Linked DNA regions of Daphnia pulex. The main gene of each other region encodes a partner of the protein of the gene in region 2 in a complex. Links are inferred from orthologs where the notes say so. Each region holds a gene or a part of one and is shown on either strand. Other genes may lie near its edges.

What was found.
Region 1: syntaxin-5-like (region 2) and vesicle transport through interaction with t-SNAREs homolog 1B-like share a complex: the UniProt entries of both Homo sapiens proteins name them as parts of the SNARE complex. The link is inferred for Daphnia pulex from reciprocal best matches to the Homo sapiens genes STX5 and VTI1B.
Region 3: syntaxin-5-like (region 2) and syntaxin-18-like share a complex: the UniProt entries of both Homo sapiens proteins name them as parts of the SNARE complex. The link is inferred for Daphnia pulex from reciprocal best matches to the Homo sapiens genes STX5 and STX18.

What each region holds. Positions count from the first base shown.
Region 1 is NC_060018.1:4,117,485-4,121,412, reverse strand, and holds vesicle transport through interaction with t-SNAREs homolog 1B-like, read right to left. Parts: upstream 2,119-3,928; 5' UTR 2,005-2,118; coding exon 1,781-2,004; intron 1,694-1,780; coding exon 1,231-1,693; 3' UTR 1,121-1,230; downstream 1-1,120. Other genes in the region: homer protein homolog 2-like, read right to left, coding at 905-909; uncharacterized protein LOC124189006, read right to left, coding at 2,282-2,782, 3,071-3,230, 3,398-3,768. UniProt on the Homo sapiens protein: V-SNARE that mediates vesicle transport pathways through interactions with t-SNAREs on the target membrane. These interactions are proposed to mediate aspects of the specificity of vesicle trafficking and to promote fusion of the lipid bilayers.
Region 2 is NC_060017.1:4,340,956-4,345,870, forward strand, and holds syntaxin-5-like, read left to right. Parts: upstream 1-1,850; 5' UTR 1,851-2,004; coding exon 2,005-2,447; intron 2,448-2,513; coding exon 2,514-2,569; intron 2,570-2,638; coding exon 2,639-2,880; intron 2,881-2,967; coding exon 2,968-3,338; intron 3,339-3,406; coding exon 3,407-3,566; 3' UTR 3,567-3,804; downstream 3,805-4,915. Other genes in the region: proteoglycan 4-like, read left to right, coding at 403-417, 708-1,085. UniProt on the Homo sapiens protein: Mediates endoplasmic reticulum to Golgi transport.
Region 3 is NC_060027.1:1,471,492-1,476,713, forward strand, and holds the start of syntaxin-18-like, read right to left. Parts: upstream 3,066-5,222; 5' UTR 3,033-3,065; intron 2,323-3,032; exon of another isoform or gene 2,196-2,322; intron 2,121-2,195; exon of another isoform or gene 2,066-2,120; coding exon of another isoform or gene 2,035-2,065; intron 1,974-2,034; coding exon of another isoform or gene 1,762-1,973; intron 1,649-1,761; coding exon of another isoform or gene 1,484-1,648; intron 1,324-1,483; coding exon of another isoform or gene 949-1,323; intron 837-948; coding exon of another isoform or gene 718-836; intron 623-717; coding exon of another isoform or gene 457-622; intron 366-456; coding exon of another isoform or gene 252-365; intron 172-251; coding exon of another isoform or gene 4-171; exon of another isoform or gene 1-3. Other genes in the region: F-box-like/WD repeat-containing protein TBL1X, read right to left, coding at 4-171, 252-365, 457-622, 718-836, 949-1,323, 1,484-1,648, 1,762-1,973, 2,035-2,065. UniProt on the Homo sapiens protein: Syntaxin that may be involved in targeting and fusion of Golgi-derived retrograde transport vesicles with the ER.

The DNA.
Region 1 (3,928 bases), on a different chromosome or scaffold from region 2:
AGAAGCCTCCAAAAGAAGCAGTGAAATGAAATGAAACTCGACACGCGATATCTTACGTTGTAGTGAGCAAACGAAAAAAAAGGAGAATACTGTAGGTACGGATGAAAGTTAACATGACGAGAATAGCATTAACTAATAAATACCATGAAAAATAAGGGAAAGGGTTCGAAGTAGCCATCTAGGAATTAGACACAGGACACGCAGCATCGATTTCTTACAACTGAATACACAAAGTCCACAAATTTCTATTTCCCATTATCATTGTTGAATGTTTGTGCTTTTGGAATTGTCTGAATGGGGCTTGCATGTTTCAAAGTAAATCAATATTGTGTGACTAAAATCCCACTAACAGTGGGCCTAGCATCCTAGCAATATCAAGAGTTTTCTGGCTGGATGAAATATTACTTTGATGTATCACCTAAAGCAACAATCTATTGCTTGAGTTGAGAATAACATTTCGCAACAATCCTTCTGGGCTGTAGCTAGAGGCACAAGTCATTCAGCTTCGAAGTTTAGCTCAATACAACTTTAGAATTTAGTACAGGTTGAAAACTTGGATGCAGCTTAGCTTATTAGTTTGAAAATATGAATGCTATATTTACAGCCAAGATATTAATAAAATCTTTTTTAACATTTGAATGACGGGACACTTCAGTGAGTCTGTGACTTCAATATTGATTTACACTTTAGCTTAATGGTATTTATACACCCTAATGGAAAATTCTTATTTGTCTAATTCCATAGTCCAAAATACAAATATTTGAAACATATACCCTTTTAATTACAGTAAATTTGAATTCAGACTTGACAGTGGTGCTCAGCATCCAGCTGTTGCTACGTGGATATATGGTACGAATCGATTTTTCATTTAAGACTATACAGAATCAATAAATGCACAACTTACCCCATTTTAACTGTCGATGTCGAAGCACGAACAACTTAGAAAAATCTCAGATTTCGTTGGCAAACGCAAAAACTTTAAATACACGTATAGCACGCCATGACACAGGAAGAGCTTCTGTCAAATGGAACTGAAAGCCAGAGGTTGGGTTCGTAACTCCGTCTGCGTACGAAGGCCGCTAGGAAATCCTTTGCGCACGCAAGGGGAAAAAAATACTGGTCGCTATGCGCATGATTATATTTTTGTATCGGCTTTTACACAAATTCAAGGCACTAACACTATTAGTTACATTTTTGATGAGGTATGTTAAGAATTTGAGGACAATAATTTCAAGAAAAAAATTTATAATAAACTAAACCTGTCAAAATGCATATCTCCAACAGAATGATGACAATTAGGACAAGCTTATTAGTCATAGCAACACGAGACATTGACTTAAGGATTCTTCTACTTCTTCCCAGCTCTGCATCCGTTTCAGTCAATCTATCTCTTGTACGAACAAGCACTTCTCTTTGTTGACTTAATTCTTGAATAACTCCAGTGCCAATCTCTTCACTTTCTAAAGCAACCTGAGTAGTTCTGTAGAGGCTCTGTGATGTTCTTTCCAGAACTGCAGTTCCTTGGCGAACAGTTGTTTGAAGAGCATTATCAATGCCCCGGTTTTGGCTAAATGCAGCAGTGGATTGGTTTTCCAACAGTTTTCCTCTTGATGAGGCCAGAGACATTTCTGATTGCTTGGAAGAATTGATCAATAGAGCAAGTTTGGAACAGGTGTCCTGATGTCTTCGTACTCTGAAGTTGGATGATAAAAAAAACATTAGTTGAAATTTTACTACATGTATTGTTTGCTGTGTAAACTTAAGACATTCACATTTTTACCTGCCAATCATGTCCATCCTAAAAGAGCCAGGAGCTGCTCTAGCTTCAGCTTCCATTTCAAATATTGCTTGTTTAGCTTCATCTAGTCCTCTTTCGACATCGGCAATAACTTGCTTTTTTTCTTCGCCAAAACATTGTTCTAGCTTACCGGAACACTTTCTTTGCAGAATTTCGAACAAAACTTGTACATCTTCATCCAGAGTTTCAAATTTCTCTGAGCTCATTTCTGTTTCTTGTAGCACAATTCTGAACCTATTTGAGCACTACATACGATACCTTGCTATCAGGACGAAGACAAGGAATGTATTGTAGACTTGACGTATAAAACACCATCTGACAAAACATTGAAGACAGCGCCACAAACGGCGAGAATTAGCATTTCCATGACATTTACATTTAATAGCTAATTATTAAGATAAATTAAACACATTTCAGCCTGCAGAAGGTTTATTCAGATGTCACAGAAAAAACGTCATACAGGCACAGGTTCAATGATGTCACTCATTCCTTCTTATTTTTCTTCCCCTTTGCTTTCTTGGCTTTCGATCCCTTATCAGCAGCTGATTCGGGAACAGAAGCTTCTTCTAATGGGATAGCTTCAACGGGAGCAGCAAGAACCTTTTCCAACGGCTTCACTTCCGGGACAGCAATCGGTGTTGGGGCAGGAACGACTGGTGGCGATTTTCCTTTTACAGGAGTAGCGACTGGTGTTACCACCTTAACTACAGGTTCAGGGATGGTAACGATTGGCGGAGATGGTTCCTTAGCTGGAGCTAGGGCAGTCTTCACCTCAACAACGGACGCGGGTGTTACATCCATCGGTTCTACTTGCAAATCCTTTGCAGCCGTCTTGGATTTCTTGCTTTTCTTTGTTTCTGGTGGTGTTGGCTTAGGGGTTTCAACAGGAGGAGGTTGAGTTGGTTTGACATCTTGGACCGGTGCTTGAACGGGCGCTTCTTCTTTCGGCTTTTCAACAGGTAAATTTGGTACGGGTACTACTGACTGTAGAATGGATATACAAATTAGAACTTGGACTATTTTCCAAATCAGATTCTCACTACGATGGACAACTCACCAAAAACATCTGTTGATTAGCTCAATAAACCATGCTGTGTGCGCTCACTCGCAGGCTAGGCAGCTACCTTCTTGGTAGCACTCGCCTGTACATGTTAAACAATGTGGCATGCATTAAGTTACGTTCACATGCGGTAATACAATTTTAACAATTCAAACAGAAATCAAACGAAAAACTATCTAAGACATACAAACATTCACAGAAAACAAAATTACCTCGCGCTTCTTCTCGAGCAAAGCAGTCTTGCTCTTCTTCCGGGCCTCAGCAACAGCAGCGGCAGACTTCTTAATCACGGCGGAGTACGGGTTCAACTTCATCAATGCTCTCATGTTGGTAAGAGGATTGCGCTTAACAGATGCACGACGGATCATCTTCCTGTAATTTAAATTGTATCGATTAGTCATCTTTGCACCAGACAGTATCACTTGAATGATAAACTGCGTTCAGATTAATTTGCTAATCACAAAGATTCATAACCCAATGCTCTAAATGTGGTTTTCATCATTAATTAATCAATAATAAAGATTAAAAAGAAAGCTTGCCTTGGTCGTCTGATAACCTTCTGGATTTCATCAGACTTCAACAAACGAGACAAATCTGTTCCGGTCATGATGGGCTGAGGCAAGTTGTAGTTGCTCTTCAGCTTAGACTTCTGACGCCAAGTACCGTAGAGGGCGTTCAAGCGTTGGAAAGCAGACTCGGTCCAGATGCAGAAACGGCCAACATGACCACCAGGAGCAAGCTTCATGAGGTTCAGTTTGTTTACTGAAATCATAGAAACTCCGGGGATGTTACGGAAAGCCTTGGTCAAACCCTGATCTCTGCCATAGATGACCAGTGGACCCAATTTGCTGGTACGGCGACGGTTGCGCATCTTACCCTTACCTGCGCGGAAACGCCTGGTCTTGTAAACCTGTAAGAAATCAGATTAATTAGACGGTGTTCACACATAAAATCATTCATGACTCAGATTTTGTTCAGAGCTCTAAGGTGAAATCATTTACTCATAAACACAGACCAAGAAGCAACTCATCATTTTCCCGTGATAATTATACATAAATATCTAGAAACAA
Region 2 (4,915 bases):
TTTTTTTTTTTTGCTTTTGCATTTTTGATTCTTCATTGTCTTGTTACCAAATGTTGACAGCCGCGGAGTTGTTAAACCGGAAAAGCTTGTCCGCTAGAAAACGAATGAATAGTCACGCAGCATTGCAGTACAAGAACAATTCTTATGGCAAAGATAGATGATCCTCCTACGTGGTTCGGACCACCGAAGGAAATATCCTTTCTGAACAAGAAGGACTGAAACTATCCGCCAATACAACATAAAAATGTTAGAAGTGAAGAAGGAAGTGCAAAAAAAAAAAAAAAAATGGGCATCCGCGGCTATATTAATGCGTGACTCGGTAATTCCTGATCAAGTAACCAGTAATCTTCGTTCGAGAAAACAACTCCTTTTCATCGGCAGCTAGAAGAAAAATTCAACACAATGAAGTACTTATTGGTATGATCACTGTTACATTTACTTTGTATCTGTTACACCTGTATTATATTTAGACATAGGCCGTAGAATCAATTTAAATGGAATTCATTTGGGATGTAGTGCAGCGATTTATTGAAATAGTATTTCATGTATTCTATTTCCTGAATGATTTTTAAAAATTCGTATTTAAAGCCTTGCCTCTAAGCTACCAAGCGGCCAAAAGCACGGCGAAAGTGATTTTACCAATAACAAATTATGACTGTGTATACTCTTTGATAAATATTTAATGAAAATGCGTTTGATTTCAATAGGTGAAGATTTTTATTGTGGTAGCCATCATTTCGCTGGCTAATTCCCAGCAGAGTGCTTCAAAAACAACGCCCAAAACTGTTAAACAGGTATCGACGACGGCTAAGCCCATGGCTGGTGCTGCTACGACTGTTAAGCGTTCATCGACAACGGTTAAGCGCGCAGGAACAACAGCTAAACCGAGAACAACTACTGTCAAGCGGGCAGGAACAACAGCTAAACCGAGAACCACTACTGTTAGGCGTGGACCTGCACCCACAACTGCCAAGCGCGCATCTACAACACCTAGACCTAGGACCACTACTGTCAAGCGCGCACCTACAACTGCTAAGCGCGCGTCCACTACGGTTAAGCGCACAGCCACGACCAAGAAAGTTTAAATGATTCAATTCCGGCCATCATTTTCTTTGTTGTTTCTTCAATCTTTACATATCTATAGGCCCACAGTTAAACATTCCATCGTTGTTTCGAATATGAGCAGGCCGTCTCTTTCTGAGTAATACGACTCAATTTGCTATTCTTATTTAATTGGCAGTGATATTTAGTAAATATAATATGCAGAAATCGTTTGTTATCAATATTATTTCATTTACGATTTTATTTCCGTACAACCAAATACTATTTGCTTGTGTTTTATAGGGATTTGAAGATTTACGTAAGCTTTGGCAATCAAGCGTAAATCTTGAGACGGTTGTTAAAAATTTTTGGAAAGGAAATAAAATAAAATTAACAGAAATGCTTTACAAATTTATATGTAAAAAAAAATGTTTGGGAACTTCTGTGTTCAACAGTAGAATTACACATGAGTACACTTTTCTAAGTGTGCATTATAATATTGTTTTGGTCTTCCCTCGCTAGCAATGAAAACGGCTTTTCCTAAATAAAAAAAAATAAATTGAGATGAAAACATAATTTTGATTGGTATGACGCGGGAACGATGGAGAACCTAGTACGTAAGTCATACTTCTCTTAGGAGGAATTTGCGACATTTAAAGCAAACCAACATTGTAGAAAGATAAAGTCTATACATAGTAATTAATAATAGTAATTGATAAAGCTGGATAAAGGTTAAAATAAAATGATAAATATTGAACTTTATACAGTAGATAATTAACGTTGGCAACGTTGGGAATTACGGCTAATGTTTGGTATTTTTTCGTCTGCACACACTCTGCAGACAACCCTTAATATGACGTGGCATTCGGTATAGTTTCTTGTCGCAAAATATCTGGCGTTCCCGATTATTTGGATTTCAAAGACGAAAACGGATGAATTTTTCGAGAGATAAATTTTTGACGGATGATTACTCGAAGACGCCGGCAAGGCTCTGAATCGGAGCATCAGCCGCTTGCTGAAACCCAACTGCAAAACCAAGTCCTGAAAGGCTCTTCATCCGTTTTACTGTGGTCGGGAGAAAGTCCTCAACAGCAGCCATCCTTTTTCATTGTTCCGCAGGGTGAAATAGGTGCATTTGTTGCACCAAATTATTCAACAGATAAATTTGTAGATGTTCAAGCAAAAACCAACAGCGCTGACATGATGGCCCTAGCATCTAATTCGAGTTCATCAGTTCTGTCTTCCACCAATGCTTCTTCACGTGATCGGACTGCAGAGTTTCTCTCTGCAGTCAGAAGCTTCCAGAGTAGGCCAGTTAACGGAGTAGTTGGGAGGCCGAGTCAATCACATCCATCTAAGAATACAGATCAACATCAACAGTACTCTGAATTCATGAAAGTGGCAAAGTAAGTTGTCGACTTTTAAGAAAATATTTGCAACTATTGAAAATATTCAAATTTTTTTCTGTACAGAGTTATTAGTAAGGATTTGAGCAACACATATGCAAAACTGGAAAAACTAACTCTATGTAATTAGCTTTGTTTTTAATTTCTACTGTTCAACCAATCATTTCATGGTTTCACATTTATGCTTGCAGTGGCGAAAAAACGAACGCTATTTGATGATCGTCCTCAAGAGATCCAAGAACTGACTTACATCATCCGTGAAGATATCACAAATCTGAACAAACAGATTGCTCATCTGCAAGGATTCATGAAAAAGCAACAGAATCAACAACAAAATACCAAGGCCCATTCAGCAAATGTCGTTGTAGCTCTTCAGTCGAAGCTAGCCAATATGTCTTCTGAATTCAAACAAGTCCTTGAAGTCCGCACTGAGGTACACGCCTTTCCTAGTTTAAAAAATAACTACTAGATTTTATTATCTAGGATATTCAGTAAAATGAATGTTTTGAAAATATTTTAGAATCTTAAAGCCCAGAGAAGCCGTCGAGAACAGTTTTCTGGCTCCGTCCCAGTCGTTTCTGATTTACCGGCTGCAGCCTTGACAGGAGGACCGTTTGGATCCTCTCAAAATGGTTCTAAAGGATCTGTTCTACTCCGTGATGCTGCCTATCAAGCCCATGGAGGAGAAGCAGTAGCTATCGACATGGGTGCCGCTGACAACAGAACCAACAGGAATCAAATTCAGCAGCAAGTGTTTGCCGACGAAACAGAATCTTACCTGCAAAGTCGTTCTGACGCAGTCCAAAGTATAGAATCCACTATCGTGGAGTTGGGCGGAATTTTCCAGCAACTGGCTCTCATGGTTCGCGAACAAGAAGAAATGGTTCAGCGGTAATAATATTAATTATTTTAGAATATGTTATAACAAAGAATTTATGGAAATATTTTTCTTCGTGTAGGATTGACTCGAATGTCGACGATGCCCAACTTAATGTGGAAGCCGCTCATGACGAACTCTTGCGTTACTTTCGTTCCGTCTCTTCTAATAGGTGGCTGATGCTAAAAGTCTTTGGGGTTGTCCTTGTGTTTGTTGTAATATTCGCCATCTTTTTTGCTTGAAAATTATCTAAAGTACGATTTCCAATTCATTTACCAATACAATTTTCGATCCTAATGAATTTAAAACTCACGGTTCGTTTCTCCATTGTGCTTGATTAACGAATGTAGATGTGCCCTCTGACGAAAATGTTGCCCAGCAGACTTCTGGTGATTTTCATGATGAAGTTATAAACTGTGATGTATTAAGAATAAAATTCAATAGTAAAATATCAGAAGAATAAATAAATTCTAATCTATATTTGACATCTTCAATATTATAGCTAGCCAGCTAGTATTTTTTTAAATTGCATTCCAATTCCATTCATTTCCGTCAGCTGTATTTTGAAAGGTTGTTTAGAATCACCCTCTGATCTAAAAAAATACCGCAACAATTTTCCCAAAGTTTAGTACTAGCCCGCAGTTCTGAATCTTCGAGTGTGTGCTCTCTTACTCCGAAGAGGGGCGTCCCTAAACTGCGAAAGCGAAACGCGAAACGCGAAACGCCTAAAATGCGAAACAGCTGTGCGAAACGGACCCAAAAGTTGAGACCCTGTTTCGCATTTTAGTCTTTGGGTCCGTACTAAACTGCGAAATCGGTGTGTGCGAAACGTCGCAGTGTAAACGTCTTGGTAGCAGACGACAATGGACGCCGTCAACAAACAAATTGTTAAGAGTTTCAAATTTTCGAGTTTCGCGCACCTTATGGCTGGTCTATTTGTGTGTTGACCATGAATACGAAATACCTTGAATGCAATATGTAATAGGTGTTTTAATTAGAAGATTGGTATAAAAAAATTAATGGAACTTCTCGTTTCCATACTGTATCAGTATCAATCAGATTAACATTCTTAATTTTAAGGAAAGTTTTAGCTGATTAAATTTTAGCTTGATTTGGAACATGGTAGCTTTGACTTTTAGCTTGATATAAGGCACTCATACTGTTATGGCCGATTCTTTCTTTGTGCACGTACCTACTGGTTGATTTAAATTATTTAATGTAATCCGATGTAATCCCTGGGCCATTACCTAATATTTTATTATTTAAAAATATCACCATAACGTGCTGCTCTATGTCTTTCATTAGTTTAATAATCGTAAAATGCGCATCAAAACATACAGGGGTAGTGGCGAAGAAATCGAATTTGATTGCCCCCCTTCCTCCTTTAATGCCTCATCATAGCAGACAATGAAAAATGGCGGCAATTTCCGTCAATTTGGACCTCTGTGCCTCTGTGGAGAATAGGAAAACTTTTTGTTTCGCAAGATGTTTCGCTCTTTAGTATGCCCTCCGGCATTTGGTCCCGCGAAACGGTCCCAAAATTTTGGTCCGTTTCGCACAGCTTTTCCGCATTTTAGGCGTTTCGCGTTTC
Region 3 (5,222 bases), on a different chromosome or scaffold from region 2:
AACTTATTCATTTTGATTGCAAACAAGTTTGTGTTGGGGCCAGTGTGAACGCTGACAATCCTTGCTACAATAGAAGATTGAATTGCAGCGAGCGCAACGCTTTAGATTTTGAGACATTTTCTTGCAGCCAGCACAGCAGTTTTCGGCAACGAAGTATTCAATCACTTTAAACTGTTTGAATCACAGAGATGAGAAGTTATTTATTAACATTAATTTGTTGAAATTTGGATGAATGAAACGCATTATTTTACCTGTCTCTGTCCTGTTCTCTCTGAAATTGCTAGCTTGCAACTGGCCGCGTCCCATGTCATCATGTATGGATACATATACTCTGATGAGGGTATAATGTATATGCTCTTCCAACTCTGAAAATTCATTTAAAAAAGAAATTGCGGGAAAAGAATGTACGTGAGTCGCGTTTGATCCAACTAAGAATTTCTATCAAAAATATTTTACCTTTGTAGACCAAATAATCACTTTCTTGTAATAGTCTGTTGTTGCGAGATAGCGTCCGTCAGGTGAAAGTATTAATTGATGGATCTGATCATGTCCTGTAAGTTTTCGTGTCTGAATTTCATGATCAAATGGATACCAAATTACAACGTTTCCACTTTCTAATCCGCTGAATAAAAGCCAATTAAAAAGCTGTGGTTATTAGAATGTCAATTTAAACTTGCATCTTTTAAAACTTGATTAAAATAATCTAGGCAGTCTAACCATGCAATAAAAGTTTTTGTCGTCATCTCTTCTTTGATGCCAGAATTCCATACCAAATTTCTGCAATTGGAATCGACATCCAACACAAGAATAGGATCTTTACTGCCCAATGACCAAATCTGCAATTAAAATTGTTTAAATATTGACTCATTTAAATTTAAAAACTTAGACAATAATAATTGTCTATCGACTATTAAAATCCAATAAATATAACGTATGTAGTTCTAATACCTTGACTCGAAAGTCTGTTCCACCTGAAGCCAAAAGTTCAAATTCTTTGTTAATGGCGATACTCGATACGAAAGTTCGTGTTTGGCCCTGGTAGTTCATAAGCGAAAAATTGTCCCTGGAATTCATAAGCGAAAAATGGTGAACAGCTTTGTCATGATCACCCAGATCGTGACGGATTTTCTGGACCATTCGGCTTTTCATTTGACTGTTATTCAATTCTATTTCGTGAATTTCAAACGTTCCATCGTCGTAACCAAAGGCGAGTTGATTGTGCGAGTTCCAGGCCAGGGTCTGACAGTTCCATTTTGATTTGATGGTGTGGGTGAGGAGGTTTTCAGCTGCTGAATTGGCAATCATCACCTCGTTTGTGTCCAACTTGAGATACAATTTTAAAACTTAAAATTTCTGGTGAACAATAAATTAATGTGAATGTTTCTCGTGTACACCGACTTTTAATTTGAAATTCTCCCTTCCCGCATTACTTAAACAAACTACTAAGTTAGCACATGAATATTGTTTTTTTTTTTTCACTTACCGCACTGTTATAACTAGCCAACATGTCCCGGTTAAATGGATGCCAAAAAATTAACGGGAAATTCGATCGTCCATTTCTTCGGAATGTTTGTTTGCCACAGCCTGGATAAGACACAATAATGACAGTCCCATTATCGGAGCCAGCAGCTACTTTAGTTCCATTGACCTTTACGCCAAACAGAAAAACAAAAATAGAAACTTAGGATTAACACTGTAACATTTAGCACACGATTTTGATGGGGTGAAACACGGACACAATTATTTGATTCACAGACTTACGTTCCATTGGACGGATAAAATTGTCCTTTCGTATCGGCTGTATACGGGTTCAATCTCCCAATTCTCAAACGGTGTGGAGTGATTAGTTCCCCGAAGGAAAACTAATCCTCCTTGAACTAAGCCGCACGCCAGAACAGGATCGATGGGGTGGAAACTGGAACTTCTCACATCTAGTTTACTCGTAATTGAGAACTCAACTGGTTTGAAAAAACCTGGATGGGACATCAGACATTGATTAAAAACGATGGACAAGTTTATAAATATTTGTCTTACCTTTCCCTGGTGAGTTTACAGCATCTGTCATTTTCTCTCTCCTTAGTGACGAACGGAAGTGTAAAACCACGTTTAGAAGTAGCGAACTAAAATGAACGAAACATTATTTTACAGCGTTAAAGCTGGAATATCCATAGAGTTTAGAATCTTAAAAATTTCACCGATGCGCAGATAGATGAGTAATATTTAAAGAGACTGGCAGCACGATGCCTCGAAGAATGTTGAAACTGAAGTGGCAATTAAAGAAGATGGAACTGGAAAAGTAAAACTGAAAAACAAAAGAGAAACGTTCAAGGGGGTAAGAAGGGGGTGGATTTGAACGGGGTCGTAGGAAAATTTACCTTGACTTTTTCTGTCTGGAATCTTTTTTGTTTTTCAAACTTGTCTCGAGGTTGCTAAAATAGCTGTAATTTTCGATACGCAACTGCATTTTGACTAATCCTTTGACAAAAATCTTTTCTCACTCCCCTTACCTCACACCATACGACTTTCCTCTCCACACCCACTATATTTTTTTTACCCACTGAAATAACCCCAAAAGAAAGTAAACTTGAAAAACTCGTGTCTTTTCATTTTCCCGACAACTTAATTGATTTCAATTATCTTTCAACAACCAATGATACATTATAACAACTTTCTCAGAGTCCATTGATAGGCATCTCTTTTGCCGATATCACGGTATTTTGTTTATCTAATCCGTTCACTCACATCACGAGCGTGATTGCTTTTCAATTCTAGCTGTCTAAAACTCTTTCAACTTGGCCACATTTGAGACAATCTCTTTGGCTTTCGTTTGGAATTTTGAAAAATGTTTGGATGGTCGTGGGAAAATGCAATTTGGGTCTTCAGTTTTCAGCTAGCTTTATTGCGTGTCCGGACCGTCTTGATGGAGACCTTGAACAGGGACGTGATATCCATCATGATCGGTGTTTCCAACAACAAATATTTTGATTTGAATAAGTAATGTATATTCTTTATAATTTATTTGTTTAACTTACCGTTTGACAATGATTTTTGAGCAAAAATCTGCCAACACTCAACAGCCGTTCTATTTTTCAAACGTCCTCGTCGTCAGTTTGTTGTGGAACTTAGTCCGCCATCTACCAGTCGTTTGCCAAGTTCGTTGCAATGTATTTTTTTCTTTGGCGCCATTCCCATGAACGACGAGCTATTCGTCTTCGAGAGCACACCATTACTGCCATTACTTCACAAGTTCACTGAACAGTGAACAATGTTCGAAAGTGTGCATCCATCGTCTTCATTTGTGTTGAGCAGCGTGATATTACTTTAAAGATTGTACTGTTCATTGTGATTCCTTTGCAAAATCTGTGACCAACATTTTCGGTGGTGAATTGAATCTGCACCAGGCTGGAAGTGACACACATGCTGATGAGGTAAACATCCCTTTGTCTGCAGTATTTGTACGAAAAATATGGCGCCTGACTTATTCTAGAATTGTAACGTGTTGGGTACTTGATGAAAGGTAACTATTTGTGAACTGTTTCACTAAATGACAATATCAACTATGGCACGAAAGGATTGTAGGAGGGTTTTGCACCATGCAGTGCCAGTCAGTTTATATCTTTTTTCGACAGACATCAGAATATGCATCCCATGAGGTTTCTTTTCATGGTGAGTCTACATTGCTTCCTCGTGAAAGTTTATTTTATTATTTTTACGTTGTTGGTGGATATTACTTTTGTTGTTTGTTTTATTTGAGCAGGTTTAGTTTGAGAGTTTTGGGCTTGGGCACCGGTGGTGAAACCCTGATGGTGGTAAAAGGTGTCATGATCTGTTCCCAGTTCTAAACACCTTGCGAGAAATTTAAGACATCCAGTCTTTCACTCGTTTTACCTTCAAATTTACCTTGGTGGACCAGATAACCAATTTTCCTTCATAGCCGGTCGATGCCAGAAAGCGTCTGTTTGGCGAAAATAAGATTTTATGCAAATCGTGGGAATGTCAATCGAAAAACAAACTTGGTTGTATTTCCTTTTCCGTTGGCGACCAAACAAAAATTGATCCGTTATCTAACCCTCTGAAAAAAGATCAGAAAAAGGCGATTGAGCTCTTACGCTTAATTAAATAATCGATTTGGGACACTGGGATATTAGATGAATGAAATCTGACCCGACTAAAAAAGGTTTTTCCTTCGCTCTTTGCACGATTACGCTGGATGGGAATTGGACTCCAAATTTATTCGCAACAAGAAGAACTGGATTCTATCATGCGTATGGGATATTGGGATCCTCTCTTTCCAATTACCAATTCTGCGTTCAATTATTTGAAAGTGAAGGAGTTAAACATTCAATTCTAAATAACCATTTAAATTCTGGGACACACCTTGATCCAAATATCGTCTGAACTGGTGACCAACAGTTTTAATTCTTCGTTCCAGACAATACTCGATACATTATATCCAAAATCTCCTTCTGACAAACTGTATGGGTCTTACGAGTGAGAGTCGGGCACTCACCAAACGTTTCTTGAATAGTTTGCTAGTTGACGTATCGTTTAGTTCTATTTCGTTTAATATCAGCCGTTTCCTAATCATAGCTACAAATGAGCGAATCCAATTCAACCCAGACTTAAATGGGTATTCGGTTTATTATGTTAATCTCTCAAGGAAGTTTTGAAACATGCTTATTAAACTATTATTTTATTTTGACAGAACTTCATCCAGGCGTCATCACCGGAATGACGAAATTCTTGGCATTCGTCACTCCAGTCGTTGGATGGATGGATTACCTTCTAGACCCCAATACTTAACCGGATTCGCTTTTAATGTAAGTCACCCTCACCCACATTTAAACATCTATTTTCTTGTTGTGTTGCAACTATAGAGAATCTTTTCGTTGAAAAGAAAGAGTATTCGAAAAGTTTTCGAATACTGTTTTTGAAGTAATTGCGTTTCTTAATGACAGGCATTTTAAAACAGGAAAAGCTTTTCCTATCTTTGTTTGAAATCTCTTTTCCTTGTTCTTTTGGCTATTGGGCCGGCTGAACACGATAAAGTTATTTACGGAATTTCATTTTGACTCTTCCGTTGAAGTCCTTTTTGTCAGGTTTTTTCAGAACTATTTTAGTTTTCCCGATAAACTTCTTTTTGAGGAGTTCTTTCTTTTATTCGTTCACAATATTACTGCTTTTTTTTGCAATTTGTTGGCAAGATGAAATCAGTTGAGTTT